Linked DNA regions of Mus musculus: regions 2, 3, 4, 5, 6 and 7 are each reported to be linked to region 1. Evidence: microRNA targets listed by miRTarBase, many of them from high-throughput screens and not tested one by one. Region 1 holds a microRNA gene; each other region holds the end of a gene's coding sequence. Distances are from middle to middle.
What was found. The annotated mature microRNA mmu-miR-3473c reads UCUCUCCAGCCCCCAUAAUAAG and lies in region 1 at 1,516-1,537, shown strand. An mRNA with a match to its seed (bases 2 to 7 or 8) in the 3' UTR can be bound and repressed. Matches are read on the target gene's strand: a 7mer-m8 pairs with bases 2 to 8, a 7mer-A1 pairs with bases 2 to 7 and ends in A, and an 8mer does both.

Region 1 (4,115 bases):
GAAGATGGCAGCTGCTGACTCTGCCATGTCCACTGAACCCCCTCTCTGGACACTGCCACTTCCATTTCATGAGTGGATCATTCTATGTGAAATGTTTGTGTTAAAATTCAGTCAACACGCTACAAATCCGATGTCTCGTTTCCAAGACATATTCTCTTTTTTGTACCGCAAGGCTCTCACCAGTCACACGGACAAGTCAGCTTGGCTGGAAGCGCAGGTGCGGCAGCTGCTACAAATAGTTAACCAGCAGCCAAGTCGACTTGATCTGAGGTCTTTGGTGGATGCGGTTGACAGCGTGAAACAGAGGATCACCCAGCTGGAAGCCAGTGACCAGAGATTAGGTACGTGTGTGTGTGTGTGTGTGTGTGTGTGTGTGTGTGTGTGTATGAAGCAGTCGGGTTCCCTCTCATGGCTTCCCTGTCTGTGTGCATTTGTGGTAGAAGCTAACAAGTCACAACCAGCTTTCTGGGTTGCCCAGTGGCTGAATCCTGTTTGTGAAGCAGCATGAGATTCTAGCTGCCTCAGAAAATGAGGGTCTCCACCATGTGTGTGGAGTCAGACGAGACTGAAATGGCCCAGGCAGTCCCAAGAGCTGGGAGTGGTAATCATTAAGAACAAGGGAGAGAGGTGATGGGTGTCTTAGGCTTTGGTGCACTGGGGCCAGTGAGATTGCTTAGCAGGTGATTTGCTATGCAATCGAGATGACCAGTGTATCAGTGGCTTCTCTGTTGCTGTGACAAAGCACCATGACCAAGGTAACTTGTAGGAGGAAGTGTTATTTGGGCTTATGATTGCAGAGAAATAAGAATTTACCACCATCTCATAGAGAAACAGCAGGCAGGCAGGCATGGCACTGGAGCAGCTGCTGAAACCCCAAGCCCAGTGACACACCTCCTCCAACAAGACCACACCTCCTCCAACTAGACCACACTTCCTCCAACAAGACCACACCTCCTCCAACAAGACCACACCTCCTCCAGCAAGACCACACCTCCTCCAACAAGACCACACCTCCAACAAGACCACACCTCCTCCAATAAGACCACACCTCCTAATCCTCCCCAAACAACCCACCAACTGGGGACCAAGTATTCCAATGCTTAGGACTTAGGACACACAACTCATTGAAACTATAACACCCAGAGTTTGATCTCTGGAACCCACACAGTGGAGAGAAAGAACCAACTATTGAAAGTTGTTCTATGACCTTCACATGTATACTATGGTGTACATGCCTTCACTTACACACACACACACACACACACACACACGCACGCACGCACGCACGCACGCACGCACGCACCACCAACAGTAACAACAATAACAATAATAATAAGACTTTATAAAGATATTTATTTATTTGTTTTATGTATGTGAGTACACTGTTGCTCTCTTCAGACACACCAGAAGAGGGAATCAGATCTGATTACAGATGGTTGTGAGCCACCATGTGGTTCCTGGGATTTGAACTCAGGGCCTCTAGAAGAGCAGTCAGTGCTCTTAACTGCTGAGCCATCTCTCCAGCCCCCATAATAAGTCTTTTAAATGTAAAATTCATTATAGGAGTTGGGGAGATGGCTCAGTAGATAACACACTTGCTGCACACATGACCTAGAATTTGGATCCTTGTAGCCATGTGATTGCTGAGTGGACTGGAGGGCTACCTGTGGTCCTAGCACTCTGGAGGCTGACACAGGATCTCCAGGACAAGCTAGCCAGAATATCAGGGTTTAATTCAGTGAGAGAACTACATCAAAAGACTGAAATACTACTGGGGAAGACACTCAGTATCAACCTCTGGCCTCTGTATGCCACAAGCACCTCACAGCCAAACACATGCAAGTATGCACAGACACTTACATCACAAGCACACTCGTGTGCATGCATGCACACACACACAAACACACACAGTTAGACGGGCACAAGGCTCAGCATGAGAATTCACTCGAGGTGAATGTCCAATGTGTCTTATACTCAGGCAAGCTGAGAGTGAAGAGGGAGGATACATCCATGTCTGCTTGGCGTCAGCTTACCACGATTGAGTTAATGTTAGCAATGCATGTAGTAGTTCACAGGTAGTGCTCAGATGACAGGCCCGAGCTGCAGCCTCCTGTCCTGTGTTTCCTTCCAGTTCTTTTAGAGGGGGAGACCAGCAAGCACGACGCACACATTAATATCCACAAAGCACAGCTGAATAAGAACGAAGAGCGGTTTAAGCAGCTGGAGGGCGCCTGCTACAGTGGCAAGCTCATCTGGAAGGTGACAGATTACAGGGTGAAGAAGAGGGAGGCCGTGGAGGGGCACACAGTGTCCGTCTTCAGCCAGCCTTTCTACACCAGCCGCTGCGGCTACCGGCTCTGTGCCAGGGCGTACCTGAACGGGGACGGGTCGGGGAAGGGAACGCACCTGTCCCTGTACTTTGTGGTGATGCGCGGTGAGTTTGACTCGCTGCTGCAGTGGCCGTTCAGGCAGAGGGTGACCCTGATGCTTTTGGACCAGAGCGGCAAGAAGAACCATATTGTGGAGACCTTCAAAGCTGACCCCAACAGCAGCAGCTTCAAAAGGCCAGATGGCGAGATGAACATTGCCTCTGGCTGTCCCCGCTTTGTGTCGCACTCTACTCTGGAGAACTCCAAGAACACCTACATTAAAGACGACACACTGTTCTTGAAAGTGGCCGTGGATTTAACTGACTTGGAGGATCTGTAGTGTTACCTGATAAGGAAACTTCTCAGCACAGGAAAAGGTGTGGCTGTCCCTTGGGCGCAGCCCTCTGGACTGAGCAGGCTCTTGTTCTTGTCTTCCTGCCTCCGATGTCTGATGTGTCATCTTTTTATCTTGGATCCTTCCCTGGTTTGAAACTTTAAACTCTTGAAATATTGCTGTTATTTATATTTTTGTATCTTCCAAAAAATTATAATAATTTGACAACAAGGCCTGGGGCTCCTCTCTCTCACTGAAGTCTGGGAAGTGTTTTCAGGGAGTCCAGTGCTCAACGGGACTGATACAGGGGCAGAATTCCCACTGACACTCGTTGTCATTTATCAGCTGACTCAGTGCTTCCACACCTGAGCCTAGGCCTGCAGCAGCCATCTTGTAAGAGACAGGCAGGCTGTGCCAGTCAAGTGTGGGCAGTGTAGCTACATATGCTGCATTTGGACCACAGATCTTCAGGGAGATGCCAACCGCTTGGAAATCGCATCGCCCTTTTGTGTTTTATACAGGATCCACTAGCTGCATGTAAGCACAGTTTGCCAAGTTGTATAACAGCTAGGAAATGGGTCGGCTCTTCGTCCTTCTCCACTAACACAATGGGTGCCAAGGAGTGGATGTTTAGTGAACCGAAAGTTCAGAGTTCATTAGGTTTGACCAGGTGAGAAGTATTTTCTTAGGTAAAATTGTCAACTATACCAGTTCACACAACTCAGCCAGGTGACCTTTGCATGGCAGTGGGTGTGAGGATGAGCAAATTTGTTATGACAGAGAAAAATATGAGAAAAGGACAAAAGGGGAACCTGTTCACCATGGATAGCAGCTGTCTGAACCCTTCTGTTCTTCTGGAAGAACTTTTAAATTCATATGCTGACCAAAAAATGAGCATTTGTAGAAACTTGCGGAGTTTCCTGTCAACATTTTGAGTGCTCTGAGAGCAGAAATGACCGGGTTCTTGTAGATCTGTCTTTGCAGTGGTTCTCAACCTGTGAGTTACGACCCCTTTGGGGGTCAAATGATCCTTTCTCGGGGGTTGCCTGAGACCATCAGAAATCACAGATATTTGCATTACCATTCATAACAGTAGCAGAATTACAGTTATGAAGTAGCAACAAAAATTATCTTATGGTTAGGGGTCACCACAACATGAGGGGCTGCGTTAAAGGGTCACAGCCTTGGGAAGGTTGAGACCCGCTGGTCTTTTGGGTCTGTCTGTCCCTTCAGCTCAGTAAGCCTCAGACTGATCTGCCCTCCTGCCCTGACTGAAAATGGGATCCGTGCCATCCTCCACTGCTCATGTAACATTGGCTCCTAAGCACGGAAGGACAAGTGTCCTGGGACAAGGGTCACGTTAGAGGCACAGGGGAGGCTATGCTCTTGTAGATGGCGCTTAACCTGTGTAA
Region 2 (4,115 bases), not on the chromosome of region 1:
TACAACAAAAATATAGCTCTAGTATTTGTTACCTGTATAATATTCCTCATTATGAGAGAGAGCCTAACTAGCCAAGTGAACATATACACTTTATTATTGGTGCCTGATTTTTAAAAAGCCAGACCTGCTTTCAATGTGGAAGTATAGAGTTGAACATTTGAATTGAATTGTCTGTGAATGCTGGCTGCTATCACCAAGGTCTTACAACTGTATCTTAGGTTTGTGTTCATATTTCTGTTTTATCTGTCAGAGATACTCTCTAATTTCTGGTTATTAGTACACTGTCAGAATTTTGGTATGATAATTGCCTTCTTAATTATTATAGTGCTAACATGGACTTTTCCAATATAAACACTTTTAATTAACATCCTTAAAAATAGACACCAGAAATTTTATCACAAAAGATATAATGGAGTTTAGAACTGATAATTAAAAATTAAACTCCATCTCTCTCTCTCTTTATATATATATATATATATATACATACATATATATATATATATAATTATAGTAACTTTCTAATACCTTCTACTCCTTTAACTTTTTCCTTTGGACTTCATCGTCTTATCCATATAACCTTAAAATATCTCATTTGTAAATATTAATCATGCCCCTTTTCCGGACCAATCTTTCAGCTTTCCAGAGTTAAAAACACTTACATTAGAGACTAACTTTATTTTTAAGTGGTAACATTTCCTTTTAATGTGCTGATAGATTATATTTAATGTTTTTCATCATAAATAAAGTTATAATTTTATTTTATTTTTAAGGAAAATAGTAATTCTGAGGAAATAACCATTTTAATAATAGCTCATTTATTCTTATAGCTATGAAAAATGGCAGTCTTGTGGCACTGATGTTTGAAATGAATATAGATTAATCATGTGAATGTGTGCAAAACAAGGCAAAGGGTAGGGTAGCACAGCATGTGGAGACCAAAGCAGGTGGTGAGGTAATGATCCAACTGGGAAGCTGCTATGGTTTTTATGTTTTTAGAGATGATGGTGTGGTGAGTATTAAGTATAATAGTCAATGATATTATTAGTTGGCTGAGAAATACGAAAGTTGAATTCCTGTTTTGAGATCTAAGTCAATTTTACATTCTTCAAGACGATAAGGTATCAGCTCTGGACCAGTCTGAGCCATTCAAAGAGATATGGAATAGTATCTAGGGAGTTTAACTAGGAGGCAGACTCTCCTTTAAAACTGTGAGCAAGACACAAAATTATCATACAGCTATTGAAAAAAAATATCTTTTTGAAGTCATGATGGATGTCATAACATTTTTGTGAAACAGGGCACTTACATTTTTCTTACATACCTTCCATCCCAATTCCTTTCTAACATCCTTCCTATATACTTGTGTTGTTTTTCTCCAAAAATAATAAATTACCAGCATTTCACAGTAATCTCTGCCTAACACTGAGAAATCACATCTTATCCTGTTAGTCACTTCTTCACTGGATGTATTATCCTAATATATTTCTCAAATTCAATATTCTTAGCTTACTCTGTCAGCTTTCACTTGTATCTTCTATGCTAATTCCTCTACATTTACTTGTTGCCACAAATTTTGTGTCCATTTTTAGTTTTTTCACCTCCAAATCGTTCTTGGAGTCCATTCAATACCATATGACTCATTTTAAATAACTGAAATCATGATATCATAGACAAGGAAACTGAAATAATTACAGGTACTCTTGTGTAACTCAATTCCATGTATGCATTGTGAAGCTTTTATTTGTCTGATAGTATTTTTATTGCTTCCCCTTAATTCCTCATGTTCTAAATCATTGTTTTAGAAGGTAGGTTTTACAATAACTACAAATCTCATGAAGTTAGCCATATTCTCCCTGAAAGTATCAAGAACTGATGAATACAATAATTTGATGATAAAACGTGGAAAATGTTCAGGTAGACCTCCATAGGTAAATTATCATCAAAAGGTGATTTACCCCAAAAATTTAATTTCAGGAAATTCATTGTACATATCCTTTGATGAGTGAAATTATATATACAGCTAAATACTTATCATATCAATAATGCTTATTTAAAATTAAAACATTCCAACCACATAATGGCATAATATACAATAAAAACAAATTAGTTATAGATGTATGATTTTTTTAACAAAATTGTAGACATATTTGAGTTCATTCTATCATTTATATGTAAATCACATATACACAGGTATCCTTAGGTATGCATAAAATCTAAGTGGTACATACACATACAAAGTATCCTTGTGGTAAACTATGGCCAGAGGCCAGGAATCCAGAAGTTTTTAAAAACATGGTCCATGTGTATGTTTGTGTGTCTCATTTTGTCTGTCATACGTGCTCAGTGGTCTGCATGGGCCTGATGAGGGTAATAGATCTCCTGAAGCTGGAGTTAAAGCAGTTATGTACTTTCAGATATGGATGCTACTTACAGAACTCAGCAACCCAGGAAGAACATGATAGAACAAGCTCTTAAGTCTGAACTATTTATTATCTCTATGTCTAGTATCATTTATCTTTTAATCTATAAATGTTCCTTTAAAAAAAAAAAGCAAATGTGCAAAATGAAGTGTGCATAGATGAAGCCAAGGTTCCTCTCCTGGAAAATTTTGATTTGGATACATACCTTTGTAGAAGGACAAGTAAATATAAAATCACATTTAATCATTTTAAACTTAATTTAATTATTATGATGCTGAACACATTTTTATTTTTTTTTATTTTTTTTACAATACATCACATACTAAAAAGTGATCCACATAAAATAACTATATATGTACCCAATACAAGTATCAACTGCACTCACTCTGACCATTGCAAATGGCTAATTGGACTGTGTTTCTTGAATGTTCAGGAAATGTTAATTCCCCAAATACCTTTCCAATTATCCTGAAAATTTATGTCAGATTTCATTAGCGCTGAACATCTTTAACATAAATGGTTCTCAGGAAAGCAGGTCACAATACAGTACTTTAAAAAAGAAGGCTTTAGGGCTAAGTGTGGTTATGCTCATGTTTTCTGAATTAAAATTTTGTTGATTAGTAGTTTGAACAATATTGTATAATTCCAAAAATAAAATAATACATCTTAAACCATTTTATACTCCCACAATGTTCAAATCCACTACTGAGTTTTCCTACATTCAAATGAAAGACACTCCAAACAGTTATAATCTAAAACTTGAAGTACATTAAAAAAAAAAAAAAGAAAGAAAGAAAGAAACTTTGATTAGAGCTTTAAATATTTTCTGAGATCAGGCCAACAAACATTTTAAAACATCTTCTATCAAGATGGTATGTCCATGGACTATTCAAATGACTTGAAAAAAATTATTGGAACGCTGGTAAAACTCTAGTGCTGAATTCACTGAAAGCAATGACTACATTCGCCTAAAGAAAGAAAATACATAAATCACTGCAAAAAAAAAAAGATTAAAACTTTTTTGTATGATACAGCAAAAATGTAGTGCTCTGAGAGAAAGTGCCCAAGTCAAAGCAAGTTTTTATTGCTAAGAGGATATAGAAATCTCTCTCTCTCTCTCTCTCTCTCTCTCTCTCTCTCTCTGTCTCTATCTCTGTCTCTCTCTGTCTCTTCCTTCTGTTCCTCTTCCTCCTCTCTCTCTCCTTTTTCGTTTCCTTCTGTGATTGAGCACTAGAAAGTTGGGTCAACTCCACTTTGAAAATAAATCACTCACACACACACACAATCAGGCATGCACATACCTATATTACACAAAAGCACATATGCAAAGAATGTAAGTTTGAACTTAAAAGATAAATCTATACACTTTCCCAAGAGCACAGTGACTTTAGCTCCAGAGGCCTGCATAGTTGCCATGGAGGCCTGAAGGGAGTGGGCCTCCACCCACAAAGAGCTTCATCTCAGGCCAGTTGTAGCAGTGAGTGTAGAGTGCGTTGGGGAATTCCTCAGTACCTCCAAAGTAGTTTACCCAGAGTTCATCTTGGTTGAGCCAGCCTCTGCCACACGTGAGTTTGAGCTTCCTCCCTGTGCGCCCAAGAAAAGAGTCTGGACTGGCTGAGGCCCTTTCCTCTAGGAACTTCTGGGCACGAATGTCATAGAAGAGCAGAGAGCCATGTCCAGTGCCCACAGTGATGA
Region 3 (4,115 bases), not on the chromosome of region 1:
AGTCGGGCCAGAGCCACGGAGAAAGTGCGGCGTTTTCCAGTGGATTCCACGGAGCCTCGGGCTATGCTCCAGCCGGCTCGCTGGCCTCCTTGCCTAGAGGCTCGGGAGTGGGCCCCGGCGGCGTGATCCGCGTCCCCGCGCACCGCCCGCTGCCCGTGCCGCCACCCTCGGGTGCGGCCCCCGCCGTGCCCGGACCCTCTGGTTTGGGTGGCGCCGGGGGCCTAGCGGGACTCACCTTCCCCTGGATGGACAGCGGCCGCCGCTTTGCAAAGGACAGGCTCACGGGTGAGATTGCCCTACCCCTCGGTGTCCTTCCCCCGCGACCCCATTTCTTTGCTTCTCCATTTTCTGCTCCAACCCCATTGCCCGGTTATCTCTCCCCTCTGTTCATCCGCGTGGACCCTCCCCGACCCCACAGTTCTCGGTCCCACAGCAGAGAGGCAGTAAGGAGAGAGCTGCTGTCGTCGGGTGCATGCACCCCTGCCTCTGCAGTCCCACCGTGCCTACGGCGAGGAGGGGCAGGGTGAAGTTTGGGAGGACCCCGATTCTTCCTAAGCCCTTTCTTGATGAGGCTTCTGTGGTTGGGGGAGGAACCCCGATAAGGACTAGGGACTCTCTTCTCAGTCTCACCTCGGACTACCCCCAAACATTGCCCTGCTCTTCCGTCCCGTAGCTGCGCTCTCGCCCTTCTCTGGGACACGTCGCATAGGCCATCCCTACCAAAACCGGACCCCCCCGAAGCGCAAGAAGCCGCGCACCTCCTTTTCCCGCTCGCAGGTGCTGGAGCTGGAGCGCCGCTTCTTGCGCCAGAAGTACCTGGCCTCCGCAGAGAGGGCGGCGCTGGCCAAGGCCCTGCGCATGACGGACGCGCAGGTCAAGACCTGGTTCCAGAACCGACGCACCAAGTGGCGGTGAGGCGCGGGGCGCGGGCGGGCCGAGTGGCGGGGTAGGACCGGGACGCCCGCTGACCCCGGCTCTCCGCTCGCCCAGGCGCCAGACCGCGGAGGAGCGCGAGGCCGAGCGGCACCGCGCTGGTCGCCTGCTGCTGCACCTGCAGCAAGACGCGCTGCCCCGGCCGCTGCGGCCACCGCTGCCACCGGACCCGCTTTGCCTGCACAACTCGTCGCTCTTCGCGCTGCAGAATCTGCAGCCCTGGGCGGAAGACAACAAGGTGGCTTCGGTGTCCGGGCTCGCCTCGGTGGTGTGACCGACACCTGCCCGACGAGCGCCAACGTGGCCGGGTGCCGTACCGCCAGCGAAGAGTGAGGAGCAGAAGGCCCGCGGCCCGCGGCCGTCCTCTGAGGCTCTTTGGTCATCAGTGGCCCCTGGCCCACACTCTGACTCCGCCCTTCAAGGTTTTGTTTTGTTTTGTTTAAAAAAAAAAACCCCGCTGAGATGTGGGTTGCAAGAGCAACCTGCAGGATTGTGGATGAAGCAGGGACCCTGCAAGGCTGCGACTTTGCCCTGAGTGGGCTCAGAGCTCAGGTCCTGCTGGGAAGGGACCACAGAGCTGGTGTAAAGGCAGATATCAAAGGACAGCGGGGGAGGGGTAATGGAAGAGGCGCTGGCAGTAGAGAATGTGGCCTACTGTGACAGGGACCTCGTCCCTCATCTGTAAAACAATAACTAAGGATTCCTTCTAGCCTCAGTCTCCAGTTGTCTCCTGCCCAATCTGCGGACTCTCCATCTTGAGTTTTAACGCACTTATGCTATAGGTAAGATAGATTCTTATATACCCAGAAGATACACTCTAGAAAGAGAACCTGACTCCCGTGCCATGCAGGGTCAGAGAGCCAAGATGGGGAGCCGGTGGAGAATTCATGGGCCCAGTGTTAGAGTGAGCAAGAGACATGCTTTGGGACTAGCAAACCTAAGAAGAACCAAAGATGACCTTAAGACTGGAGATGTGTAGGCCAGGAAGGGGAAACTGGGGGCAAGATTAACAGTAGGCAAAACTAATGTTAGATTTAGAGAGAGAGAAAAAAATGCTAATGCCTGCCTTTGGGGGAATCTCCATGACATCACAGGGGGTGGAGACAGATGAAATTTTGGGTCTAAGATCTCCTGGTAAAGGCGGGAAGGCACAGGGAACTCTGGGGAGTTACATGGATTGAGCCTTTCTTTCCACAGTATTCTACAAACACATTTATGATGTGCAGGATGGTGGTGGATTCAGAAATTCGAGTAGACTAAGGGCAGAAGGGAAAGAGTTAGGGAGAAGTGAAGGATGGCGGCTTTAAGTTGGAATGTTCTTAGGAGATGGCACTTGCAGTAATCCTGACAATCTGAGTTTGAGCCCTAGGGGCAAGTTTGTGGAAGAAAACTGATTTCTACAAACTATCCTCTGACCACTGCACATGTGTTGTGGGTGTACACACACACACACAAACTATAATGAAAAATTAGAGAGACTGCAGACTGTAGGTGAGTCAGAGGGCGCAGGCTTTTGGTTAAGTGGAGGATGGTTACAAAGCTCTCTGGCTTAACAGGGAGATTTCGCCTCACTCCACTGTCCCCCTCTTGTTCCTGGCAGAGGCTAGAACACTGTGACGGGACACAGACCTGTGGTAGCCAGGTCACGGATGCTCTGTGCTAGGGACAGATATAGCAGCACAGAGGCTTGGGCGGAGGCAGGCAGGAGGCTGCACCTGCAGAAGTCGGCCTTTCCTTTTGTGTCACCTCTGACTCATGGATGTTGTATATGGCACTACAGAACTAAAAATCAAACTTGGCATCATAGAAAAATCATTTTTTAAAAAAAAGATTTATTTAGATGGGCATGGTGGCACATGCCTTTAATCCCAGCACTTGGGAGGCAGAGGCAGGTGAATTTCTGAGTTCGAGGCTAACCTGGTCTACAGAGTGAGTTCCAGGACAGCCAGGGCTACACAGAGAAACCCTGTCTCGTAAAACCAAAAAAAAAAAAAAAAAAAAAAAAGATTTATTTATTTAATGTATATGAGCACACTGTAGCTGACACACCAGAAGAGGGTACTGGATCCAATTACAGATGGTCATGAGCCACCATGTGGTTGCTGGGAATTGAACTCATGACCTCTGGAAGAGCAGTCAGTGAGTGCTCTTAACCCCTGAGCCATCTCTCCACCCCCCACCAAAGTCTTTTATAGTCTCACCAAGGAGACAAGGTTGTGTGAGGCGCCGCATGGGTGGGGTGAGTGGCATCTGCTCCCATGTCCATGGACAGAGAAGAAAAGTATGCTTGTTCTGAACTGTGGCGCTCTCTTCCCCCACTCCTAACAGTTCTTGGCTCTTGGGTTCCAGGAGTATATCTGACCCTACACTTTGGGTCTCTAAGTCTGACTGCCTTGGCGCTCTCTGATGAGGTTTGGCTCCATTCCTTAGGCAGTTAGCTCACTGCAGAACACAGCCATCTCCATACTCCTGGGGAGAGGAAGTTTCAGTCGCTGCTGCTGGTGGCTCTGCTGTTCCTTCTCTCAGCTGGTTCAAGAGGTCTCTGCTCTCACTGGGGGGCAAGTTACTCAGGAAGTATGGAGGGGCGAGCTCCACCAGCCTGACAGAGAAAGTCAGGATGGGATCATCTGTGCCTTCCCCTGCCCCTCACTCCCCGCCCTGCTTCCACCAACCCTCTTCCTACATCTCACTCCCCAGTTTGGTTCCTGGCCCTGGGAGAAGAAGGGCCCTGTATGAGTGAGGGAAACTCACATCTCAGGCTGGATCTCAGAGACAATGCAAAGGCAGTTGTCTTTCGAGATGGAGAAGCTGTGGTACAGCACCCACGTGGGTGGCTGGGCTGGAGTCCTGCGGTTTCGGTAGCTGCAGTATGGAGACAGCTGGGCTACGTGTTTATGGGTGAGAAGCAGATAATTTCCTGTCCCATCTGTGTCTCGGGCCACCTCATTGAAACACAAAAACATGGGTGGAATAAGTAAAATAAGCAATGGAGCACAGAAAATAAAGAAGGCCAAGGTTGGGCGTGGCAGGAATCCCAGCATCTGGGAGCCAGAGGAGCAGAAGTTAGAGGCCAGCCTGAGGTATTTAGAGAGTCTGAAGCCAGCTTGGACAACATGAGACCTTGTCTCATTGTTTGCTGCCTTTAAAAAGAAAGAAGGAAAGAGAAGGGGCTGCGAAAGGAG
Region 4 (4,115 bases), not on the chromosome of region 1:
TTTTGGAAAAACCACTAGTAGTGATTGGAAGGTGTGATGTATGTGGAGTTCCAGCACAGTTACTCTGGGTCCTTGTCGTCTTCAGATCTCCATCTATTCCGAGCTCAACAAGATCGCAGTCAGCTTCCGGGAGCTGCAGAGATTAAATCGGGAGAAGAGCAGTAGAGGACTGTACTCCATCGAAGTGCTGGAACTCTTCTGACAGTCTTGCTGGCTGTTCTGAACTGGATATATGGACCAGGCTGGCCGCGAACTCAGAGATCCACCTCCCAAAGTGCTGGGAGTAAAGGTGTGGCCACCACACCTAACTTGATGGATATATATTTTTTTTAATATGAATCTTCCTGTTCGTCCAGGGAAGAAAGATTTGTTAGTACCCATCTCACTCAGTGTCCAGAGAGAAATATGAGTCCCTGGACCATCACAGACCATCACTCCTTAGTGTGCTGCGGGTTCCACAGAATCACTTCTAGGTTGCAGACATCACTGGAGGGATGTTGTGAAAGTTTTTTTAAACATGAAATTGAGCTGATTTTAAGTAAACGTATTTGTGTCTAATTTTTTACAATGCATTTTGAATAGTTTTTCTTTCAATCAAAGAAGCAAAACCAGGGGCTGGAGAGATGGCTCAGCAATTAAGAGCACTGACTGCTCTTTCAGAGTTCCTGAGTTCAATTCCTGCCAACCACATGGTGGCTTACAACCATCTGTAATGTTATCTGATGCCCTCTTCTGGTGTGTCTGGAGATAGTGACAGTGTACTCACATATATGAAATAAATCTTTTTTTGAAAAAATGAAGAAGCTGCAAAACATCTCTGATGAGTGGATCTAAGGAGAATGTATATCAGTCTGAAGCTGTTCCCAGTCATCTGTATCATGGAGCACTCAGGGCACCAAGCCAGCATACTGCATTGTGCCTACTGCCATTTCTTCATCTTTCATCTTCTACCATCTCTTCTCCTTTCTCGGGAGTTGAGAAATTCCCTGTTCCAGCGTGGTGTCTCAGATGAACTGTGACAAGGATATGGTAAAGATTGGTTTAAATTATAAAATCTTATTACCAAATAATGAAAATGTCTCTCTTTTTAAAAAAAAAGTATTGAGGCCAGTGAGCGAGTTCAGTGGATAAATATGTGCAAGCTCTATAAGCCTGTTGTCTTAGAGAGTTGATCCCTGGAGTCCATGTGAAGTGGGAAGGAGAGGGCCAGTTTCCCAAGAGTTGTTCTCTGCCATCCACAAACACTACCCACACCTTCAATCCCAGCACTCAGGAATAATAGCAGACTAATCTCTCTGTGTTCAAGATCAACCTCATCTGCTTAGTGAGTTCCAGGGCAGCAAGAGCTACATAGTGAGGCCCTGTCTCAAACCCTCCCCCCAAAAAAGTAAACAAAAGTATTAGAAAATCTTTCTAGGGACTGGAGAGATGTCTCAGTGTTTAAGAGCACTTCCAGAGGTCCTGAGTTCAATTCCCAGCATCCATTTGGTGGATCACAACCATCTGTAATGGATTCTGATGCCTTCTTCTGGTGTGCAAATGTACATGGAGGCAAAATACCCATATACATAAATAAATAAATAAATCATTTTTTAAAAGAAGAAAAGCCAAGCGGTGGTGGTACATATCTTTAATCCCAGCACTTAGGCCAGGCTTGGTGGCACAAGCCTTTAATCTCAGGACTTGGGAGGCAGAGTCAGGTGGATTTCTAAATTCAAGGCCAGCCTGGTCTACAAAGTAAAACCCTGTCTCAAAAAAACAAAAAGAAGAAAAAAGAAAATCAAAATTTTTTTTGGTTTTTCCAGACAGGGTTTTTCTGTATAGCCTTGGCTGTCCTGGAACTCACTTTGTAGACCAGGCTAGCCTCGCACTCAGAAATCTGCCTGCCTCTGCCTCCCAAGTGCTGGGATTAAAGGGGTGTGCCACCACTGCTCGGCTGAAAATCAGAAAATCTTTATAGGCTGATTGACAATAGACAAACGTTTTGGGTTTGTTTGTTCACTGTAACCCTGGCTGTCCAGGAACTCAAAATAACACTAGACTGGCTGCCAAGCAGTGGTAACACACCTTTAATCCCAGCACTTGGGAGGCAGAGGCAGGTGGATTTCTGAGTTCAAGGCCAGCCTGGTCTACAGAGTGAGTTCCAGGACAGCCAGGGCTACATGAAGACATCCCATCTCAAAAAGCAAAAAAAAAAAAAAAGGCGGGGGGGGGGGGGGCTGGTGAGATAGCTCAATGGGTAAGAGCACTGGCTGCTCTTCTGAAGGTCCTGAGTTCGAATCCCAGCAACCACATGGTGGCTCACAACCACCTGTAGTGAGATCTGACGCCCTCTTCTGGTGTGTCTGAAGTCAGCTACAGTGAACTTATGTATAATAATAAATGAAGCTTTGGGCTGGAGCAAGCAGGGACTGAGCGAGCTGAGTTGACCAGAGTGAGCGGAGGTCCTAAAATTCAATCCCCTACAACCACATGAAGGCTCACAACCATCTGTACAGCTACAGTGTACTCACATACATAGAATCAATCAATAAATAATTAAAAATAGCTTTGCCATGTGCTCACCTCTGATTCTATGCCATGCACAAGTTGTCCTTACTCCATGTGTAATTGGTTGTGAAGCACCTGACAGGATTGCTGGGAGCCAACCCTGGGGCCTCTGAGAGCACTTCTTGCTCTTCACCACCAAGCTACCTCCAGCCGAGTCTGTAAATCATATAAGCCAGAAAATAAGATAAGCAAATGCAATTCCCTGTAAATGGTTTATAGATTCATATTTGTTTTTTTATAACTTGTGGTTTAGTTGTACTTGAGCATGGCTTCTGTCATGAATATTAACTTGTCAAGAGTCACAGAAGCCAGGCATGGTGGCACACACTAATCCCACCATTTCAAAGTTAGAGGCAGGAGGGCTAGGTCATCCTGGGCCAACCTGGTTTACTTGTTCTCAAAGTAAAAGGAGAAACTGGAACTCTGATCCATGTAGGGTCGGAGCTGCCTTATTCCGCTGAGTACTAACTGAGCCCACCCACATCAGGTGAAAGAGAGAGACCCTGCCTGTTCAGAAGAGAGCACCTGCAAAGTCAGAATTCCCATGGCTATCTCTGAAGCCAGTGTTCTTAGTGACATTGGTACTTGGGCACAGCTGAAGGAGAACTCTAGAGTGCAGCCTGACTGAATCAGCAAGCTTTCCAAAGGATACTGGGCTCTGATGTGAGACTGCCAGGGTTTCACTTGCTAATTAATCGGTGTCTCCAGATAGCCTAGACTGACCTCAAACTTGAAATCCTCCTGCAATAATGTCCAAGGTGCTGGGATTACAGATGTCCACCACCATGCCTGGCTTGCCTGTCAGCCTTAAGAAGTCTTAGGGCTGGGGACGTGGCTCAGTGGTACACTTTGCATGAGACCCCAAGTGTACATACACCCCAACACCACAAAAATCAAATAAATAGAAACATGTTGCTCTGCTTTTCCTCTGTCCATCTCAAGTCTATGCTGACAGTCACAAGGCATCAGTCAGTGGATTTAGAGTGATAATTCTAAAAATACTGTTAGAAATACAGAAGAGCCAGGCAGTGGTGGCACACGCCTTTAATTCCAGTACTTGGGAAGCAGAGGCAGGCAGATTTCTGCGTTCGAGGCCAGCCTGGTCTACAGAGTGAGTTCCAGGACAGCCAGGACTACACAGAGAAACCCTGCCCCCCCCCCCCAAAACAACAACAACAACAAAAGAAGAATTGGTGCCAGGCCCAAAGTGGGTAAGGTTTACTCTTCTAGGAGTATTCGAAATACTCCTGGCATGATGGTGCTCTTTTGTAGCCCCAGCACTTGGGAGGGGAGAGAGGAGGCTTAGGAGTTCAAGGCTACATTGAGACCTCAGAGAAGTAAGACAAACCTGTTTACGAAGGGTGTCATTTTAGCTCACAACGCAAGGCCTGGTGTTACAGTGGAGAGGTCAGCAGGAAAGTGATGGGGATGGTCACATGGCATCCACAGTCAGGAAACAGATGAGTGCTGCTGCTCAGGGCATGATCCCACCCACAAGTAAGGTCTTCCAGCATCAGTCAACTTGATTAAGATGACCTCACACAGGCCACCCAGATTGGGTTTTT
Region 5 (4,115 bases), not on the chromosome of region 1:
TCATCTGCATCAGTTTGGTACCAGGCTTTTTCTCCTAAGGTTGGTCAGCTTACTCATAATTTGTCTGAGATGATGTGCCAACTACAAATTATTATCTTAAAAACCCATGTACTTTCCCCTGGTAGCTTTACACTACCAAGGTTTTGGAAAACAGATCTAGGAATAACATAATTTTTTTTACCTCTTAATCGAGGTTACATAGAATTATAGTAGTGTTTAAATAGTCACTTTCTTTTATTAAAAAAAGGGGGGGGAGGCATATATTATGATACTCATGTCAAGCAACAAATTTGTATTATGATGTATACTTAAGAAAGTGCATTGATACTAATTTGTTATGTAATGTGTGTGTGTGTGTGTGTGTGTGTGTGTGTGTGTTGTAAGCTAAAGGTCAACACTGTCTTCCTTTGTTGCCTTTCACCTTACTGAGAGCTCCTCTTGGTGAAATGGAAGCTTGCTGTTTTGGCTAACCTGGCTGGCCCGCCTGAACCAGAGACTTACCTCCTTCTGAATCCTCAGCACGGCAGCACTGATTCACAGACACGCAACAGTGCTTGCCTTCTCCTATACAAGGGTGCTAAGGATTGACATTTAGGTCCTCATGCTTGAACAGCTAGCATTTTAACCTACGAACCAACTCCTTCCTCTGTCTAATTTTAAACAATTTAACATGTTTTAATGGTATTACTATCTATACTTTACAATATTGAGGTAAAAGACTTAAGGACGCTAGTTTTTTAAGTTCCTGGGCTTTGGAACTATCCCCATACTCCTGGTTATCACACAGCTCTGAGGTCCTCTAGATACTTTTTTTTTTTTTTTTTGGTTTTTTCGAGACAGGGTTTCTCTGTGTAGCCCGGGCTGTCCTGGAACTCACTCTGTAGACCAGGCTGGCCTCGAACTCAGAAATCTGCCTGCCTCTGCCTCCCAAGTGCTGGGATTAAAGGCGTGCGCCACCACGCCTGGCTAGATACTGACTTTTAACCTCCAACGGTGTTAATTCAGTTGTGCTAAGACAATATTACATATTGCAAACCAATGGCAAATTAAGATGTAGCTTAATGCTCTACATTCTGAGGTACAGAGGACATGGATAATGGGCTTCTGCCTATCCTGGAGGTGGCTGCTAAACTTGGAGATAGCAGCAGAGATATTAATTGGGTAGCTATTTGTCAGAAATTTTACCAAGTACGCGACGAAAAAGAATAGTTATTTTAAGTTGCACTCACCCTATGATTAATACCCTCTAAATATTCTATGGTTCTGGAGTTCAAAGCCAGCTGCATGTTGAATAGATCAGTGGCTACCAATACCAGGTTAGCACAAATATAAGTTACATGTTGCATAGAAAAAAGCTTGTTTAATGGGAACGAAGTCAACTATTAAAGAAAGTGGAAAGCAAAGCTTCTCACAGAGATGTTTTGGTTTGGGTGGACACTGACCTTGGGCTTCAACCATGCTAACCCAGTGTAAATCATAATACTAGAAAGGATCACAGCTTGCGTTTAATGAAATAGAAAAGATGGTTAGTCTAGTTAATTTTCTTTAGTAGCTTTAAGGGGTATATTAGTAATTTTAGCCTAATAAATCCACACCATATTTGAAAGTACATTAATCTTTCTTTGCGTTTTTTTGTTTGTTTGTTTGTTTTGTTTTGTTTTTTTGGAGACAGGGTTTGTGTAATCTTGGCTCTCCTGGAACTCACTCTCCAGACCAGGATGACCTCAAACTCCAATCTACCTGCTGATTGCCACCATGCCTGGCTATGTTTTTATTTACTTACCAGACAGGGTCTTTCTACATAGCTCTGGCTGTCCTCAAAGTGTGTAGACCAGGCTGCTTCCTGAGTGCTTGGAATTAAAGGAAGGCACCACCACCCCGGCTCTGGTAAGGGTTTTGTGATACAAAAGTAAATGAAAATACACTCTACCACTGTGTTACGTGTCCAGTCCTTTTCACAAATCCTCTTCCATCTAGTCTTCACAACTCTGATAGACACTATCACAAACCATATAAATCAAATAGAAACAAGCTTCTTATGTAGCAGTAGTGAAGTAAAGCCAAGAAAAATGAGGTCAAACACTTTTATTCCCAATCTGCTTTGGACATAAGAAAAACGTATTACAAAATAAACATTCTGTGGTCTTATTAAACTATCTTCAACATCAGTTTATGTTATAGAAACACTTTTAGCAGAGTATAAAAAATGAGTATCTGAGCTTAAACTACATTTTAAAACAGGGCTATATCAACACTTCCAAAAATCAGTCTAATTTTCAAAGAAACTGCACTTGACATATTCATATATCCAAACATTTAAATGCGCTTAGATAGTGATCAGTTACAAATAGTCAGAATGAATTTTGCTAAGGTAAAAGGGAAGCTGGTGTTTTTATCATGTCACTGCTGGCAAACACTGCCATCTGGTGGTCACTTCTTGCTGAAGACGATCTTCTATTCGAGATCTGCTCAGGGAAGCTGAAGGGACAGTGCTTGTATACTTACACTCACTTCCACTGACTGAATTAGAATGCGCTTGAGGGATGAATCACACCAGAGTGTTGTTCTAGAGACTTGTTAACACTGAGGTAGGAACACATCCTGGAGTCATGCATTCTCTCTCTCTCTCTCTCTCTCTCTCTCTCTCTCTCTCTCTCTCTCTCTCTCCCTCCCTCCCTCCCTCCCTCCCTCCCTCCCCCCACTTCTGCTGAAACCTGGGGAAAGCTGACAACTGCAAAAATACTGGTAGGAACCTAAACTTCCTTTTCCCACGACCACAGGGCCAATGAGAACGGCACCAAAAGACCCGCTGCTGCTCGTCTACCCATTACTGATTCATCTCCACTCCAGAAGTCTAAAGAAACAGAAGACGATCAGTTTCACTCCAATGGTCAAATAACTGTGTACTGACTGTCTCAGGTGATCCTAAAGCCAACTCACCAATGTAGTAAAAGCCCAAGTGTGACCGACTGAAGGAGAAAAGAGAGAACTACAGATTGCATTAAGTTGTTCTATTATTTATTACATGTAAATCCAGAATCTGAGGCAAGTCATTTTTCTACCTGTTTAAGGCAGAGTCTGAACATCACAGTGAAATAAAAATGATGTCCATGTTTTGCAATTACTGCCAATGAAGTTTTTTTCACACGTTATTTTATATTTAAATTAGTTACCTGAAAAATTTTAAGAAACAGAGTGCTTGGCAGATTTACTATTAATCAGACCTTGGAAGCTCTGAGTCTAAAGAGGCTTTATTTCCATAATTTACTGGCTTTGGTCCAAAAAAGACCAATATACTGGCTAAAAATAAAATTATAGCATCTAAAAAAATAATACATATCAGAAATCTATTAGTCTCCCCAAAAGCTGGCTGCTTCCAAACTCGATTTAATATTCTGCATGTTTTCCCTCCGCTGCTTGGTAAACACATTGGCTTCTCCTTTCTGCAGCCGGCGTCTGGCAGCCGCCTTCTGCTGCCTTGTCAGCTGACGCTTCACCTTCTGCTTCACCAGTTCCTGCAAAGATCTTGTGAATTAGTATCACTGACAACCATCTTGATAAGGAGCAGAGAAATCATTATCAAATTATTATCCAAGATTTACACTGGTAGTATCTTTCAAATTTACATGTTAAAGATGAATTTTAAGAATCCTAAGGACACTATATGAACTAGTAGATAAAACAGGAGAAGCTGTTGAAAGTTTTTAAAATTTATATTCTTCCCAGAAATACAGATTATACAGCAAAAGTGGTCAGTTTAAATTATCAACTGCTAGAGTGCCACCTAGTGACCATTATGAACAATGAGTTGGGGGGAAAAACCCGTCTTGGTAAAACACATGATTTTGTAATTATTTGCTCGCTCCCTCCCTCCCTGAGGTAAACTCTCCTGTAGCCTGGGTGCCCTGGCTGGCCTTAAACTGGACCGTAGTCAGATGGCCTCGATCTTCTAGCCCCTGCCTGCCCTTCCAAAGGCTGGAATTACGTAGCCAGCCCTGTGGTGCTTGGGACAGAGAAGAGGCCTGGGGGCGGCAGTCACGCATAGGAAGTCCTCACAGAGTATGCAGATGCAGAGCACTGTCTCATAGTTAACAACCACAAATGCCATATGTACA
Region 6 (4,115 bases), 19 Mb from region 1:
TAACAAGGCACATCGTGGCGCTAACTCATGGCATGGATGCAGATGCCGTGCACACACTAAGAAGAAGGTCCTGTTCTTAACAAACATCTCCTCTTCCAGGGTTTTAGGACATAAGAAGGGGTGATTGGGCTCAGGACATTCAGTGTTCAGAGGCTTCAGGCTGGGTGCCAGGTGTGCCAAGACTCTAAACGCTGAAGGGCTAATTCTCTGATCTCCTCATCAGGGAAGAAGAAGGATGCTTGCACTGACGGGGTGCTTCCAGAGACAGAGAATGCCCTCGTATAGAGGATGTCATGAGGGACAACATAAACTGGTGCTTGGACCATGATGAGATGCCCTGCTCAGCCACGTGATGCTCCACACCTGGACACCTCCAGGATCCTCATAACTGCCACAAGTCGGCCTGCCTCTAGCGGACAGCCAAGAAAACCACCATCCTGGAACGTCACCCTGGCCCAAACTTCCTCCTTCCTCCATCCTGTTCGCACATGCCGGATCCTCTCTGGGCAAGGTGAACTAGTAGGATGCTTCCTTCAGAACACAGGACTTTCTCTAGGATCCACAGAGACATTGATTATCCAAGGCATCCATTCTTCTATCACTGTACATAAGGTCTTGCCCAACAGCCACCAAGGGACGGCCTCCAGGCCAGGACCTTGGCTCAAAGAGAGATGAGATGTTTGAACTAACATGGAAATTGAGCTAACCATTGCCAACTCCAACTCCAGCCCCTGGGGTCTGAGTTCCTTGTGTTCAAGATGTTATTATAAGAAAAGGCAAAGAACAGGAAATGATGGAGGGTGGGGCATTCTCTTTCTGGTCTGAAGGACTTTAAGATTATCTGAGTTCAAGGGCCATCAAAAGTAAATTGAGATTACAGATGATGAGGGGTTGGTAGCTAATGTGCCATGTTGGGATCAAAGCCATTTTTCTGGTAGCACTATATTAATAGACACCTTTGTTGCCATTAATTCTTGTGTCTCCTGCATATCTGGGGTGGTGTTTCAAGCTTTTTCCATACATTCTACATAGTTGTCAGAAAAAACAAAAACAAAGAGTTTGACCCAGCCAGTAGGAAATTCTTCCACAACTTCAAGAGAAACAGCTAAGTTCAGAATAAGTCTGTCTTCCTAAAACTGGGAGAATGAAGAGCCATAAAAAGCTACACAAGGGACTGGAGAGATGGCTTAGCAGTTCAGAGCACTGACCGCTCCTCCAGAGGTCCTGAGTTCAACTCCCAGCAACCACATGGTGGCTCACAACCATCTGTAATGGGATTCAATGCCCTCTTCTGATGTGACTGAGGACAGCTACAGTGTACTCATATACAGAAAATAAATAAACCTTTTTTTAAAAAAAAGCTACACGGGAGGAACTATAGAGAGGATGAATACTGAGACATTTTAGAATCTGCTATATTTATTCAGATGCAAGCGGAGATAATCCACCCATATCCAAGGGGAGAGACAAAGTCCCTACCACTCAATTGTAGTATCATCAAAGGTCACTTTGACATATACCATAGAGAATATATGGCCACATTGGAAGATGTGTCCTGTACTGAATGGTTTTGTCCTGAAAGCATCTAGGCTGTTTACTGCTACATGGAAAAAAACAAAACAAAACAAAACAAAACAACCTAAATGAGTTGAACTTTCCCTCAGGGAGTAGTAGGTTCATGCTTACTCCCATCCAAATGTAATGGGTTTTGTCCTGGGTCCCCATCCAGACCTTTGTAATAGAAAGGAGGCTTTGAAGAAGCAGGGGTAGTTGTGAATATGTTTCGTAGGTGGCTTAGTCTCTCCACCCAGGAAGTCAACCCTGCCCTGGTACTTTTCCTCTTCTCCCCAATGCCAAGACAGGTAGTCACTTCACCTGGGACAAATGGAATCCACTGGCTTGTATGTTCACATTACACACCTCCTCTCTACTTACCCAGGATTCTCCTTGCTGGCTTTTCTCAGAGGTCCCTGGCTTTACATAATTCTTACTCTATCCCATGCTCACTTTTCTTCTATCCCCTTCCCAACATCCTCCTGTGGCATGCACATGCCCAGTCCACCCAGCCATTTGTGCTGCCCTTCCCTGCCACCTATAGGCATTTTCTCACCAAATCATGGAAAACCACCATCGTGTGAAAAGGATGGAGTGGTGGGCCATGGTCGTTCTGGGGTGATAAAATGCTTGCTATCACCCACTTCCCCTCCCTCTATCCCCACAGCCTCACCTCGGATCAGAGCACAGTTCTCCTCTTCATGAGGTGACTCTTGAAGACGGTGGTATTGCAGTGGGTTTTACCAGGGCCTCCTGGAACAGGTCCCATGCTATTCAAACAAACACCGCAATGACTCACTTGTCAACTAGCAGACTTATTACCCTTCCTCTGGAAAACACAAAGTACATCTGGGAGACCAGTCTTATTCTAAGAGGCATTGGGAAAGATGCTTTAAAAGTTACACCATCCCAAGTATGAACTGCGGGTGCAGCGTCTGCTGGGAACTCCTTAAGGCACTAAGGAGTCAGTTTTGGATGAAGCAAAGCCTTTGCCTACACGGAGTCTATGCTCAATGGCATATAAATAAGCTGATAAGTCCATGCTAGATGCTGACAGGTTCTGTTTCAAAAATCAGGCAGGCTAGCTTTGTGGTACCAGCTTAGAAACCCAGCTACTTGGGAGGCTGAGATGGGAGGATGGTAATTCAAGGCCTGCTTGGACTGCAGAAGTTCAAGGCTAGCCCGGCTGGCTTAGTCAGAAACTTGTCTCAAAAAAGGGGGTTAGGGGAAGAGAGGTGCTGGGGGAAATGGCTCAGTGGTAGAGTGTTTCCTGGCTCTGGGTTCAGTCCCTGGAACAAAAAAAAAAAAAAAGGAAGGAGGGAAGGAAGGAAGGAAGGAAGGAAGGAAGGAAGGAAGGAAGGAAGGAAGGAAGGAAGGAAGGAAGGAAGGAAGGAGAGAAGGAGAGAAGGAAAGAAGGAAAAAGAAAAGAATGGAAGGAGAGAAGGGATGAAGGAAGGGAGAAGGAAGAAGGAGTGAGTAAAAGGCTAGGGACTGGTGTATTGGGGAGTACTCATTTGTTGGGGAGGACTCATGCACTGGCACAGAGTGCTCCGCCAGCACCTAGCCAAGCTTGCAGAGCCCTTAAGTGGGAGCACACAGCCAATAGAGACCACATGGCTGTATGCAAACAGGGGAGGATCCCATGGTCTACAGAAGAAGAGCCTCCTCTCCTTGGACTTTGGGTGGCAGAGGGGGCCCTGGCAAGTCAAGAAGTCAGTCTCTCTGGGGGATTTTTCAGTATGCACATGAGCAGGCCAGAAGCCTTTCCAGACTGTTCTTTCTCTTCCTCGCTCTCATGTTCTTTGTCTTCAGTAATAGCATTTTCCTTTCTAGAAAGGATGAATGCAAGATGGGCTAAGACCAAGAGGTCACGTGACAGAAGGTTAGAATACAGCTGAGCGTGGTGGCTTACACCTATAATCATAGTGCTCGAGAGGCTGAAGCAGGAGAACTGCTGTGACTTTAAGACCAGCCTAGGTTACCTAGAGAGTACCAAGCAAACCCGGGCTACAGAGTGAGGCCCTGTAGGAATCTGTTTAAAGAGAGCTTCATTTCCTTTATGGATATAAATACTCAGTGCTTTGAGGGGAGCTGGGGCAATTATCAGCGACATCTCCAGCAAGCCTTTCTTCCATATTTATAACATAGTGCCTGCTTGGAACAGGCCCCTCTTGGTTACTTACTGATCTCTCGGGGAGACAACCGTCCCTTTCCAGACTTGACCCTCTGGCTCTCTGTTTCTGTTCTGCCTGCAGCCTGATAGAGGAGCCTACAAAATTTCAGAATACAACCTCCCCAGGTCTGTGAAAGTTTCAGTGTCTGTCTCTCCTTTGGGCTATGTGTTGGTGATAGTCAGTCGCCAGGAGTGGCATGCTGAGCATATGAGTGGGTAGTGGGGATATTCTACTGCATGGCTATCTCCCATTCTAGAATCTATACTTTTAAGGAGACACAATAAACTTCGCACACCCAGAAGAGAATGGCCAGAATGGTGAGAAGCCTGGAAGCCCTTATGGCACGAGAAATGACTAAAGAAAACTGGTGGTGTTTTATCTGAAATT
Region 7 (4,115 bases), not on the chromosome of region 1:
GAATCTGGGCTGTGTTCTGGACCTTTCAAACGAGACACCGATGTAGCCTGATTCTAGTCTCTCTCCGCACAGGTGTACCACCCAGTGCTTTCCCGCCTTAATTTTATTTTATTTTATTTTATTTATTTATTTTTTTAACTGATCCTCAGCTGGATTCTCGTCTTTAGCGTCCTTCCTCCGAGATGCAGAACGTAGGGTCCTGGACCTTCCGAGGTCAGGCAGCGCCGGCTATGGCCTGCCTGCTCCCGCCTCGCGCCCGTCCCGCACTCACTTGGCCCCGGCAGCCTGAAAGAGTTCGGCCCACTGATCCGGGTGGAAGAAGCGCGCTGTGAACTGCGGTGCGAAGTCGGCGTAGCTGAAGCCGGGCGGGTAGTTTTCTGTCATGAAGCGCTGGTAGGCCGGCATCCGATCGCCCTGCCAGTGCCACCAGAACCATTCACTGCCCCAGGCGGGCACCGAGAACACCCCCCAGTGCACGAACACCCCGAACTTGGCCTCATCGAACCAGCTCGGCAGTGGCCGCGAGTCCAAGCTCTGCCAGTCCGGAGTGAAGCGGCGCGGAGCCAGGGCCACTGCCTGGGCCGCAGCCACTAGCAGCAGCAGCAGCAGCAGCAGCATCCCAGAGTCCACAGCCCACCACTCAAGTTCAGCTCCTACATCCTTGCTTCCGGGCCCGCACCGCCCCCCTCTTAACACGCAAGCGCCGGCGAGTAGCCCCGCCTCTCAGAGTAACGATTGGCTTGGAAGGAGAGGGGGTGGGGTCAGGCTTGCGGCTCTGGAGCGCCCTCTGGCATTGGAAGGGAGAAAGACTTAAGGCGGCGTTGCTGGTTCTGCTCTATTGAATTTAAATTCCGTAGACTCGCCTAAGGATTTAATTGCCGGATTCCCCGCAAGTGAGAAAGACCCAAGGTGTGGGGAAAACTGGGAGAAGTCCACGTTGTTGCACCAATCTTCAGGGGAAGGCTGAAGCCAGGTCGTTTTATTTAGTGACTATTTAGGAGCCGCGGGTTCTCTGTGCTATACCTCCAGCCAGCAGGTGGAGTTTAGCAGATTGGAGAGTTGCCGAAGAGATTGAGAAATAACAAGGTTAGAAGGAGCTTTATGCGGAGGGAGAGAAATGGCTGCTGAAAGATTAAGGGCAGACGTGGTTATTTTAGTCTATCTTTTGTCCGTTGAACTTAACAAGAACTCCGAGGAACTTAAACATTTTTTTAAAAAAAGATTTATTTACTTATTTTATGTATATGAGTACACCATCGCTCTCTTCAAACATACCAGAAGAGGGCATCAGATTCCATTACAGATGGTTGTGAGCCACCATGTGGTTGCTGGGAATTGAACTCAGGACCTCTGGAAAAGCAGTCTGTGCTCTTAACCACTAAGCCATCTCTCCAGCCCTAGACATTTTAATTTAATTTAGAATTGTAACTTAAATTTATTTTGAGGTAAGGGGGTCTCAACTAGCTCAGGCTGGCTTCGAACTTACAGCTACAGTAACTTTGCATTCCTGATCTTCCTGCTTGTACCTCAGGAGTGCTGGGATTACAGGTAGGGGATGGCACTGCCATTCCTGGTTTTAGGTAGTACTGACCTTTGAACCCAGAGATTTGCTCTTGCAGATGCAGCACTCTACTGACTGAGCTACACCTCAAAAACTTTGAGGGTCTCTCAGAGAGCTTAGTTAGCATCTAACTGAAGAAAACCTGACTCAGGAGTACAACACTTGCTTGGTACACCGGAAGGCCGGAGCTTCAGTCTGGCACCGCTAAACAAGCATGCCTGACCCACACACAGGGGACCACTGAGGCATGAGGGACCAGAAAAATTGAGAGCCAAGAGAACCCTCTTGCCCTGGGAAAATCTCTAAAACTCATATGGCCAGTCACCCAATTCCTCTACAGTCAGCACACGCCCAATGGTATATGGTGTGTGCCCATAACTTCAGGAAGTATGGGAGCCAGAAGTCACATGGTCCATATGGCACAAAGGTCTCCATGGTTGCAGAGATAACCACAGCATGTTAGAGCAATGAGAGGTTTTAATGGCCCTGGAGAGCATTGTTTTCCCCACCATTCCCAATTTACCGAGAAGGAAACCAAAGCAAGGTAAAGGGCGGGGGTTGATCAAGACCACATAAGTGTGGACCAAAGCTGGTGCAGGAATTCACAGCTGTGGAAACTGTATTCCCTCCTCCTCTGTCAGGCACCTTGGAGAGATCGGCTTATGTTGACAGAACCAAGCACTTCCTCCTTTGAGGAGTAATAAGGAAACACCGTGTCTTTTCTGTCTCTTCCTCCCCCAAGTTGATGTTGAAATACAGTCTAAATCACTAAGCGTGGGCGAATCGACTTCTTCCCCTGATCCTCCCAAACAGCGATTAGAATTTGCAGCAGCTTTTGATGCACAGAACTTGTCTTGGGAAGAATAAAATGAGACGCCGTTGACCTTCACAGAGAAAACAAACTGTCACCTTGCAGAAGCTTAGGAGAGGCTGTAGAGCCGAGTGGACCTCCTTGCTTTATTAGGGAGGCTGATTTTTCTTTGCACTGGACACCACCCTGTTAGTTCCTTTGGGCAATGGGGAAGTCCTGTCTGCGGGCCGGATCTTCTAAAAGCAAAAGTATTAAATGTTTAAGAGTTTTCCTTTCACTGTGTCTGTGGTCCCCAGTGCCACCTACCCCTCCTACCACCAGCAGCGCCTTGAACCTCCATCTGTTGGGACTGCAACCTTTACTGAAGGGCAAAGGCAGGCACCCAGAGACACAGCGTGGGGCTGTGGACCTAGGATGCCTGGTTTGCAGCAGGAAGTCTTCCCTCCCAACTCCTTCTGCTTATCCTTCAGGACCAGAGTGTGGAAGAGGCCAGTGGGGCTGAGTCAAGCATCACTGGGAACAGCCTAGGACCCAAAGAATCTGTGTGAATATCTTGCTTTGTACTGAAGCTAGGCAAGACTGGGATAGTGCTGTGTGAGACACAGCAAAATGTCACAAGGAATAGAGTTCTCTGAAGACTTTGTACCTCCAGTGAACCCAGCTTCCTCTGCGCCCCTAAGGACCTAAGGTCATAATGGCTTTCAAGGCTTATCAGGATGTCGGGAGGGCCCTTTCCCAACAACAGGATACCCTGAGCTGACAGCTCCTGACGCTGTCTGAAGGATGTAAGCGAACATCCTTGGTCCTTAGGGCATCATAATTCTTGACCCCCAAGAGGCAAGGGTGACCTGAAGGTAGAGCCTCACATAGCTCTACAGCCACAGAGGATGAAGCAGGAACCAGAAGCAGCTGGTCTCTCTATCTTCAGCAGGACAGTCTAGAATCCACACTATGGAAGACATGGACATCTATGAAGTTGAGGGCAGTGGCCCCACGGCTGGGGTACTCTAGATTCCAGGAGAACAGGTCCCTTGTCTTCACAGATCTCCTGAATCCTTTAGTATCATCTCTGGAGGCCCCTCTGGCCTCTAGGTCTTTGGAGTCAGAAGGCTTTCCTGATTTGATATGAACAGAGCCTGCCATTCTTACAGGCCCCTCTCCACAGACTGGAAAAGGTAGGCATGACCAGGCCACCTTCCAGCCAACCAGCATTCCTTAGCAAAAAGGGGGATCTGTTTCCATTACCCTAGAACTGGCTTCAGAAAGAATCCGGGTCTGGAACCCCTCTCTCTTCGAGGGAGTGAACTGAACGGACTTCTGACTCGGGCTGTTTCCAGTAGAAAGACAGGTGGTGTCAGCAGTTGGAGCAGCCTGGAGTTCTGGATCCTGGCTCCTAGGTGGTTTTCACATCAGCCTCTGTTTCTGTAACCGAGGACCTTGGGCCTTCTTCTTTCCCCTCAGGTCCGAGGCCCTGTAGATACTTCTTCCAGCCTATCAGGCAGTGCTGGGCAGCAGAGCGAATCTCTCCACTCCGCAGGGCGTAAATGATAGGATTGACCATAGAGTTAACAAGGCACAGCATGGAACAGAAGGCGAAGGCCTCCTTGACCTGGTCACTCAGCGTGGTGACCAGGCTGTGGCCCATGAGAGCCAGTGCAGGGAACCAGCATATGAGCAGCACAGCCAGCACCAGGCCCAGAGTCTTGGCCAACCTCACGTCTAGCCGCATCCGAGCTATCCCAG

Region 2: miRTarBase lists Dcaf12l2 as a target of mmu-miR-3473c. Seed matches in the 3' UTR shown: 7mer-A1 at 3,617-3,623.
Region 3: the mRNA of Dqx1 is a reported target of mmu-miR-3473c. Seed matches in the 3' UTR shown: 8mer at 3,098-3,105.
Region 4: the mRNA of Nol11 is a reported target of mmu-miR-3473c. Seed matches in the 3' UTR shown: 8mer at 617-624.
Region 5: the mRNA of Riok2 is a reported target of mmu-miR-3473c. Seed matches in the 3' UTR shown: 7mer-A1 at 2,662-2,668.
Region 6: the mRNA of Slamf8 is a reported target of mmu-miR-3473c. Seed matches in the 3' UTR shown: 8mer at 1,176-1,183.
Region 7: miRTarBase lists Cnr2 as a target of mmu-miR-3473c. Seed matches in the 3' UTR shown: 7mer-m8 at 3,528-3,534 and 8mer at 1,387-1,394.

What each region holds. Positions count from the first base shown.
Region 1 is chr1:191,996,024-192,000,138 of GRCm38, reverse strand. It overlaps Mir3473c (microRNA 3473c), which reads left to right and starts at 1,505; the gene lies at 1,505-1,585. Traf5 (TNF receptor-associated factor 5) reads left to right here. Exons shown (of 14, transcript NM_011633.2): 13 at 171-341; 14 at 2,132-2,936. The coding sequence ends at 2,709.
Region 2 is chrX:44,362,794-44,366,908 of GRCm38, forward strand. Dcaf12l2 (DDB1 and CUL4 associated factor 12-like 2) reads right to left here. Exons shown (of 1, transcript NM_175539.3): 1 at 2,664-4,115. The coding sequence ends at 3,808. Among named protein-coding and RNA genes, the nearest start is that of Dcaf12l2, 3.5 kb to the right of the region's middle.
Region 3 is chr6:83,065,850-83,069,964 of GRCm38, reverse strand. It overlaps Dqx1 (DEAQ RNA-dependent ATPase), which reads right to left. Exons shown (of 12, transcript NM_033606.3): 11 at 3,685-3,875; 12 at 2,746-3,532. The coding sequence ends at 3,373. It overlaps Tlx2 (T cell leukemia, homeobox 2), which reads left to right. Exons shown (of 3, transcript NM_009392.2): 1 at 1-285; 2 at 674-911; 3 at 991-1,640. The coding sequence ends at 1,207. Among named protein-coding and RNA genes, the nearest start is that of Tlx2, 2.3 kb to the left of the region's middle.
Region 4 is chr11:107,163,612-107,167,726 of GRCm38, reverse strand. It overlaps Nol11 (nucleolar protein 11), which reads left to right. Exons shown (of 18, transcript NM_133702.3): 18 at 86-1,076. The coding sequence ends at 202. It overlaps Gm11715 (predicted gene 11715), which reads right to left. Exons shown (of 3, transcript NR_169178.1): 2 at 2,566-2,706; 3 at 602-1,013. Among named protein-coding and RNA genes, the nearest start is that of Gm11715, 8.3 kb to the right of the region's middle.
Region 5 is chr17:17,392,855-17,396,969 of GRCm38, reverse strand. Riok2 (RIO kinase 2) reads right to left here. Exons shown (of 10, transcript NM_025934.2): 10 at 2,071-3,515. The coding sequence ends at 3,351. Gm26873 (a long non-coding RNA gene) reads left to right here and starts at 277. Exons shown (of 2, transcript XR_003952270.1): 1 at 277-1,887; 2 at 2,781-3,121.
Region 6 is chr1:172,578,614-172,582,728 of GRCm38, reverse strand. It overlaps Slamf8 (SLAM family member 8), which reads left to right. Exons shown (of 5, transcript NM_029084.3): 5 at 224-1,352. The coding sequence ends at 285. Among named protein-coding and RNA genes, the nearest start is that of Slamf8, 9.9 kb to the left of the region's middle.
Region 7 is chr4:135,917,307-135,921,421 of GRCm38, reverse strand. It overlaps Cnr2 (cannabinoid receptor 2 (macrophage)), which reads right to left. Exons shown (of 2, transcript NM_009924.4): 2 at 1,203-4,115. The coding sequence ends at 3,766. Fuca1 (fucosidase, alpha-L- 1, tissue) reads right to left here and starts at 696. Exons shown (of 8, transcript NM_024243.4): 1 at 272-696. The coding sequence starts at 618.